Linked DNA regions of Saccharomyces cerevisiae S288C. The gene in region 1 interacts genetically with each later gene. Each region holds a gene or a part of one and is shown in the gene's direction. Other genes may lie near its edges.

What was found. Genes that interact genetically often act in the same process or in processes that back each other up.
Region 2: mutations in EFM6 (region 1) and MAK11 together harm fitness more than expected from each alone (negative genetic interaction), as found in Saccharomyces cerevisiae (one large-scale study listed by BioGRID).

The regions. Positions count from the first base shown.
Region 1 is NC_001146.8:585,792-590,312, reverse strand, and holds EFM6 (putative protein-lysine N-methyltransferase), read left to right. Parts: upstream 1-2,465; coding exon 2,466-3,206; downstream 3,207-4,521. Other genes in the region: FAP1 (Fap1p), read left to right, coding at 1-2,050; KSH1 (Ksh1p), read left to right, coding at 3,493-3,711. UniProt on the Saccharomyces cerevisiae protein: S-adenosyl-L-methionine-dependent protein-lysine N-methyltransferase that methylates elongation factor 1-alpha (TEF1 and TEF2) at 'Lys-390'.
Region 2 is NC_001143.9:396,844-401,385, reverse strand, and holds MAK11 (Mak11p), read left to right. Parts: upstream 1-2,635; coding exon 2,636-4,042; downstream 4,043-4,542. Other genes in the region: SPT23 (Spt23p), read left to right, coding at 1-2,554; anaphase promoting complex subunit CDC16, read left to right, coding at 4,138-4,542.

The DNA.
Region 1 (4,521 bases):
CGTGTTTGCCTGTGCAGATAATAGAGTTGTCGACTACTCATGTCGCAAGCATTCATTCATAGAATCTTGCATAAGCCCACCCACAATTAATGGAGAAAAGGCATGCCCATTTTTGCCTAGCTCTTTGAAAACTTGTCCCTGTGGCCGGACAGCCCTAGAGGAACTGACTAAGCCTCGTAAGCATTGTGATGATCCGATACCAACCTGCGACTCAAGATGCGGTAAACCACTAAAATGTGGCAAACATTCGTGCCCCTTCACTTGTCATGATAAAGCCTGTATGGAACCCTGCTTGCAAATTGATAGTGTAAAATGTGCTTGTGAGCAAAGTACATTTTCAGTTCCATGTGGATTTCAAGGAAGGCCTCGCTGCAATATTAAATGCGAATCCCTGATGTCATGCCGTAGACATAGATGCACCGATAGGTGCTGCAGTGGTAGGCCATCGGCGATAAGAAGGAAGAAAAACTTGTTCAGAACGCAAGATTTGTTGGATGAGTCTCTTGTGGAAGCAAAACATATCTGCCTAAAACCGTGTAACTTGACCCTATCATGTGGAATTCATAAATGTCAGAGAAAATGTCACCCAGGAAAGTGTCCGCCCTGTTTAGAGAGTGATTCGAACGATCTGGTCTGCCCATGTGGCAATACAGTTGTTCCTGCACCCGTGCGTTGTGGCACGAAGCTACCTACATGTAATCATCCATGTATTAAAGTTGTGCGTGGCGAATCTACGTGTGGTCATAAACCAATGCCACATACCTGTCATTCCTTGGATGTGTCGTGCCCGCCATGTACGGAAACCGTATTTAAACCTTGTAAATGTGGGAAGAAAACTAAAGTGAGAACGGTTTGTTTTCAAACAGACGTATCATGTGGAATAAAATGTGGGATACCACTCTCTTACTGTTATCATACCTGCCAAAAAACATGTCATTTACCAGGAAATTGCCAAAAGGTGTGTAAACAGACCTGTGGGCAAAAAAGGCTCAATTGTAATCATGAATGTCCTAAACCGTGCCATGGTAAGACAGAGTGTCCCGATTTACCTTGTGCCACGCTAGTGAAAATTTATTGTAAATGTGGAAGGATCAAAAAAAGTGTTACTTGTGGCGCAAAAAGTGATAGAGTAAGTGTAACTGAATCTTCCGTGCTGGATTGCAATGAAGAATGTGAAGCTTTGAAACGACTAAAGGAATTGAAGGAGGCATTTGGAATTAAGGAAGAAACCAATAATTTTACAAGTAATGAACTAGATGCGTTAAAAAAACTGGTCTCTGTTGCTACAACATTTGAAGAACTGCAGTTACCGTTTACAGAGGCAGCATTATCAGTATATTCAAAGCAAGAAAGATGGTGTTCACAAATTGAAGCTATTCTTAATAAATTAATGGACGATAAAACACGTTCAAGCTTGCATTTCAAACCTATGAGGCCTCCTCAACGCCACTTCATCCGTGAACTAGCCAAAGCTTACGGCCTATATTCCGAGTCTCAGGACAGAGAGCCCATGAGATCTGTATTTATTAAGAAAGAAGATAATGGCGCAAGCAATAAACCAGTCTTATCATTAGCAGAAGCTTACCCACTATATGAATCATTTAAACAATTGCAGAAGGAAAGGAAAGCACAAGAATTTCAAGCTCGCACCACAGCTAAACTAATCAACTTCGAGGTTCAAGATACGGAACCTAAAGTAGAGGTGGCTAAGAAAAATGGTTTTTTGGTTCAAAATTTGGTTGCTGGAAATACTGCCGAAGATCTAAGGAGATTTTTTGAACCACATCTCAAGCATACGTTAGTAGTGAATCCTCAATACCTAATCCTTGATGATGGCAAAACAGCACTAGTGTATCCTGAAAATTACGAAACAGCATCCGTGAATACCGAACGTGACATGGAGCTTTTGGTTGGACACTTCGATTTTATGGCCAAAGAGGCATTTTTGGCCGATTCCATTTCGTTGTGTTCAACTGAAGAAGAACTTGAAAGAAGGTTGGATACGCCCGTAATTCAAGAGGATAGTCCTGTAATGGATAATAATACATGAACTATAATAGCGTGTCATTATTTATTACGCGGAATTCTAATTAAATAGAAATATCTAACTTTTATTTTTTTTCATCCTATCTCATTTCTTGTTTCTCCCTGTCGTTGCTAAAATACGAGGATCTGCATATGTTTACATATCAACGTTCCCGTAAACGAATGGAGAATACTGAGTGTCACGTTAATAATACGGATATTATAATTTGGAAACCTAGTCAAGTAAAACCAGAAGAGATTTTTCTTTTCTCTTAAGCTTTTTTGGCTTGACCAAACGAAAAGTCCCTCACACCCAAACACTGAAAGTAATTCTTCGTATTTAAATAATTCAAAAGTTATGATGAGCAGGCTCTATGTAAAAAAATGGCCCATAATTTTCCCTAGAACGTTATAAAAACGCGACTAGTGAGGTATTGAGTATGGAGAGTATATTTGGTGGGTTTGGAGATCTAGTTGTTCCTAGGCCAAAGGAGCATCTCGGTCAAACAGACCTTTCCTTCGGTGGAAAATTATTGCCTGCATTGAAAATTTGTGAAGATGGCGGTGAAAGTGGTTGTGGCGGTAAAGTCTGGATCGCTGGCGAACTGTTGTGCGAGTACATACTCGAGAAATCAGTTGACCATCTGCTAAGTAAGACGGTCAATGGTACGAAACAATTTAAAAAAGTCTTAGAATTGGGTAGTGGTACAGGTTTAGTTGGATTGTGCGTGGGGTTGTTGGAAAAAAACACATTCCACGATGGCACTAAAGTATATGTTACGGACATTGACAAGTTGATACCACTATTGAAAAGAAATATAGAACTGGACGAAGTTCAGTATGAAGTTCTTGCGAGGGAACTTTGGTGGGGTGAGCCGCTGTCGGCAGATTTCTCACCTCAAGAAGGTGCTATGCAAGCAAATAACGTTGATCTAGTTTTGGCAGCTGATTGTGTGTATCTCGAGGAAGCTTTTCCATTACTAGAAAAAACACTACTTGATCTCACTCACTGCATAAACCCACCTGTAATCTTGATGGCTTACAAGAAGAGAAGAAAAGCTGATAAACATTTTTTCAACAAGATTAAAAGAAATTTTGACGTTCTTGAAATTACAGATTTTAGTAAATTTGAACATTATCTTAAGGAAAGAACCCACTTGTTTCAGCTTATCAGGAAGTAACCTGACACAGTGAATTTATCTCTTAATGATCCTGATCTTATTATATTTAGTAATGAACTTTTCGATAGACATTTGTAATTCATGAAAAAACGATATAACATTCATTTTTGTAGTGTGGTGTACGCATGGTGGGACTGCTCTTCTTGAGCGAAATTTTGATCTTCAATAGAGTGAGCAACGACAACTCAAGGATAAAGACAGAACAGCGGTAAACATCGTTTGCAAAATAACTAGAGAGCCGGATCGATTTACTTTGCAAAGTTGCGTCCTTTTTCCACGACAGAATATGTCTGCATTATTTAATTTTCGTTCTCTTCTGCAAGTGATATTGTTACTGATTTGTTCATGTTCTTATGTTCATGGGCAGTGGCCGTCTCTCCTAGATCGTTACAAAAATCATGAGGTTTTGGGGGCCTTCTGGAAAATGGCACGTGTTGGTGAAAGGGCCAGTCCATATGTTAGTTTAGCATGTATTTTGATGGCCATCAGTCAATTTAACAGCTGATTGGAAGATACTTAGTCATATGGATTTAAAGTTACGCAAATCAAGGTCATAGAAGGTGCAGTACCTTTTAAAACAAAGAGTATAAGTGGATTCAGACGAAGTGTCTCTTTAATTCTATCGTCTGATAGCGTACAAGTAAGGGTGCTATGAGCTAGCACGCACAGCAAAAATATAAACACTTTTGTATTTTTTTTTATTTTATAGTGTTTTGTGTTGAGTATTCATCTATTCGACCTCTATAGAGATTTAAGAAGGGAATTCATTGTCACAATAAGGACGCATAGTTGTTCATTTTAGACATCATTTACAGCACTTCCGTAAACTACCCCATATTGCGATTGAATACTACCGAAAAGGCTCAAGAATTTACGTGGTGCCCAATCAATTATATAGAATGAGGAACAATGGTAAGTAATGAATAATCATGGTCAGTAATAAAAAAGCAATCTCGTCCATGTTTCTTTTTGAAACTCAGAGCTTGACTCTGTTGCATTGGTATTTCATCATTTGATGAATTATTCACTATTCCATCTTCTTCTTACACAAGTTTACCAATAAATAACTCATCTGAGTTATTCAGACTTTTTATTAGATCAGTTCGGCATATTTAACTATGCAAAAGTTTTACACTGCTAAAAAGTAGTGTAAACAACAAACTGTTAAAAAAATAAAAAGGGGTGAATCCATGGACCAAGAATAGTAAGCTCCATTGGGTTACTCGATCCAGCACGGGAAAGAGCAATCGTCATAACTATGGTTTAGATTCCATACAAACGGAATCCAGTACCGAAGAAAACACCAGTACCCTGC
Region 2 (4,542 bases), on another chromosome or scaffold:
CATCTGGCAAAATAACGAAAACAAAAGAGCAATCATATTCAATAGTAAACAACTTTTCATCATTAGTAATAACGGTTTGAGTGGTAACTCTAACTGTATCAATTTCGACTTACCGACGAGAATCGTCTGTTACTGCAGACACCACAAGGCAACTAACGGGTTTGTAGTTTTGTTCCTTCTAAGGGACCATAACGGCGATATCTTGGCGAAAACTATAACAGATCCCATAATGATCATGGACAAGAAAAATGCCAGCAATACCACAACTCCAACCAGCACCAGCAATGCCCAGGTTTCGCCAATGACAAATGACACTAGATCCTTTTCATCGCCGCAAAGTGACTTAAACTTCCCATCCGAATTCCCCCTGCCTTCTAACAGTAAAAATTTTGTCATTTCTACGAACTGTATGCTTGATAGCAATTGTAATAACAACAACAATGATAATGATAACAAAAACAACATTAAGACTAATACCGCAATGATGAACAACAACAGACACTTTCCATCACCAAATTCCTCCAGTGAGGACAGCAACCATTCTTTTTCAGATATTCATTTTTCTAATAACAACGACAACAATTTACATCGTTCACTAGACTCTTGGTCGTCCACAGGTTTTAATAGTTCATCTAATCCCGCTCTTACTACATTAACTAGTGATTTCAGTGCGGCCTCTGCGAGACACACTGGCAAGAGGCAGCGTTCGGTAAACGAGCCTTTTATGTCTACGCCTAATACGTTTTCCCGTCTTCCCCAGAAATTCATCGATTCTTCCAAAGATATATCGAACCATAATAGTGTCCCCGTGGCGCTAAATAACAAGCCTTCTATTCAGCGTGTCATCCCCGCACAAGGTTCCATCAACGGAGGTATAGAAGTGACTCTACTTGGCTCAAAGTTTAAGCAGGGCTTAATCATCAAGTTTGGCGAAAATATAGCATTGTCCAGCCAATGCTGGAATGAATCTACGATGGTGACTTATTTACCGCCTTCATCTAAACCTGGACCGGTTTTGGTAACCATAGTCGACCCAAGTGAAACGTCTATGAGAAATAATAGCAATAGTAGTGTTTCCACCAGCAATAGTACCAATGACATTCTGCACTTAAACAAGTATACCGGTGAGAAAGCAATCTTTACTTATGTTGATGATACTGATAGGCAACTAATTGAATTGGCTCTGCAAATTGTGGGGCTGAAAATGAACGGTAAACTGGAAGATGCAAGAAATATTGCTAAAAGGATTGTTGGCAGTGATTCATCTCCATCTAATAATAACGCAGGATTACACTCACAGAATAGCTCTTTAAATTCGTACACGAATATGATGCGAAATATAAACGATGAACAATTGATCACTGAAGTTATTAAGTCATTTAAGAGAAATAATAATCTCTCTACCGTCAATCTTTCCATGTGTGACGTTAGGGGTAGAACTCTATTACATCTGGCAGCATTCAATAACTGGTATAGTCTTGTCTCATTACTAATCAAATATGGGTCGCATTTGAACGACCAAGATTTATTTGGTTTTACTCCGCTACATATGGCGTGTATTAATGGTGACTTGAGAATTATAAGACTATTGTTAGAATGCAACGTTAATATTATGAAGAAAACCAGAAACGGCTTTATCGCTAAACAGTTCTTCCTGATGAATTATACTGTCAACAAGACCAGATATTCTAATTATGAAACCAGTCTGTTTGACGACATTCTGACTAGATTAACGAAGAATACAACAGGATCCAGTGATACTCAACCGTTTGAGAGAAATGTATCCCAGTCAAGTTTCAACTCAAGTTTATTTGATGATGACGATGCTGATCATGACTATGTCCAAGAAAGAAAATATTTATTGGCGGATTCCGCTGCCCTTGCCCCCGAACAATCCAACTGTAATGACAATACGTCATTCTCAATCCTAGATTCGGATTCAGGTTATGACATAAGTGATTGTGAATCATCTTCAGATGAGATTGCTTTGGAGTTCTTTAACACCCACAAAATCAAGGACTTCTCTTCAAAGCCAAATGAAATACCAAAAACTACTAAGACTAGCATAGAGCCTGACGGATCTTTATGGAACAGAATGCTAACTCGTTTAAATGACGAGCTCCCAAAGTATGAAGACTTGTTCCCAAAAAAACCCAAAAACTGGGAACTTGGTAGCAAATCTGTGGAGATTGGGCCAGATAATTCTGCCCAAATGACCGTGGATGATTCTCAAACTTCTTCTGAAGACGATGAATTAGAAGCTTTACAGGTCGGGTTCAACACAATCTTTTCCAAGAAGCAAAACTTTCAGAATGATAAGATGCTCCTATTCTTTTGGATCCCCTTAACTTTAGTACTCTTATTATGTTTCACATTATCGAATTTGGGGAAAGATGATGATATGTTTCATAATTTATCCAAAATTGTTCAGGAATATTTAAGAATTGGTTTAGCCAAGGTACTACTAGGCAACGAAAGGATGAAAACCTCTTTTAAAATGCAGTTATCGAAGTTTCAAAACAATAACATTCTAAACGACATGCGAGTCAATTAAAGACATTTTTCTAGCTACATAATCCTTACACTATATAGATTCATTTTTTATTATTTTGCATTTTTGAATTTTATCTTCTTTATGTTACTGAATACTACTTATACTGTCTTCATTTTTTTTTTGCTTAGAATTATAAAGTTCAAGATCAAGGCCGAAAATTTTTTAGAACATGAAAAATTGAAAACTCATGGTACCTCATCTCGAAAAGATCCTAAGGGCCAAGTCAAGAATTCGTGTAGAAAAATGAGTGCTATAGGCGACAAGAACCAATTTCGTATCATTGTGGGCTCATACGAGCACAACATTTTGTGTTTATCCTTAGATATCCCAAATCAAAAGGAAAATGATGCAGCAAAGACACCACATTTTATGCCAATATTTCATTTTCAAGCCCATTCGTTGAGTATTAAATGTTTGGCTGTTTCAAGAAGATACCTAGTTTCTGGATCCAATGACGAGCACATCAGAATTTATGATTTGCAAAAGAGGAAGGAACTGGGTACTTTGTTAAGTCATCAGGGCTCTATTACTGCTCTACAATTCTCACATCCAGCTTCTTCCAGTGAGGATGCTGCTGTTTCAAAGGGGAGCAAGAATAGCAAATGGTTATTATCAGCATCAGAAGACCACAAAATTATGGTTTGGAGAGTAAAGGACTGGGAAACAGTGGGGACTTTAAAGGGACACACGGCAAGGGTTAATGATGTGGATATTCACCCCACCAATAGAATTGCCATCAGTGTTAGTGATGACCATTCTATACGTCTTTGGAATTTGATGACTCTAAGAAATGCTGCTGTACTAAAACTAAGAAAATATAATACAAACGGGACTTGTGTTAGATGGTTAGGCGCCAAAGGTGATTATTTTGCCGTGGGTTTAAGGGATAGGGTGCTTATTTATGAAACTGGATCGGCTAAAGTTTTTAAAGAAATAGTCTTTCAAAGGAAAACTCTTATGCATATTGAAACACATATTTTACCATTCGATAATAAGGAATACCTTTCTGTTGGTATCAGCGATGGTAATGTTCATTTCTATCCTTGTGAGGAGTTATTCGAAAAAGTTGAAGAAAATGAAAAGCAGGAAGATGATGACGACAAGGAGGATATCAGCCCCGCTTTTTCTTTATTGGGTCACACAAACCGTATTAAAGATTTCAAGTTTTATACGAATGAATTTGGTACCTACCTAGTCACCATTGGTTCTGATGGTAAAATTGTCGTATGGGATATGTCTACAAAAGAACAAGTAGCAGTCTACGACTGTGGCGAAAGGCTAAATTGCTTAACGCTATGCGATGAAAGCATTGAGAAATACAACACAATGAAGAAGAGGGATGCTGAAACAGCTGATATAGGTGACCAAAGTGAGGTGGAAAGTGATACCGAAGAATTAAAGAAGATAATGTTTGGTGAGAAGAAGAAACTCAATAAAAAGAAGCGGAAGCAATTGAAGAAGAGTAAAGTATCAGTAGAACTTGAATAAACGCCTTATACATGCGTGCAGCTCAGAATTGTTGCGTACTAAAGTTAGTTTATATGTATAATATAAAATAATTTATCTTAATCGTTAAAGATGATATGAAGTTTTGTCTTTATTGCTGTCATTGTTATATCGTTATTTGTGGAAAGGCTACACATTATTACAAGTCATCAAAAGCCACATCAAACTTGAAATCGTCAAACAGGGTACTTATGAGAAACCCCATGTCGCCTTCGGAGCAACATTCACAACATAATTCTACATTGGCCGCCTCGCCATTTGTTTCTAACGTATCTGCAGCAAGAACACAACAGAGTTTACCAACCGATGCTCAGAATGATCGTTTGCAGCAACCCTGGAACAGAACCAATACGGCTACGAGTCCCTACCAGTCGTTAGCAAATAGCCCTTTAATACAGAAGTTGCAAGCGAATATTATGACTCCGCACCAGCCATCTGCTAATTCTAATTCTAATTCCAATTCCATTACGGGCAATGTTGTG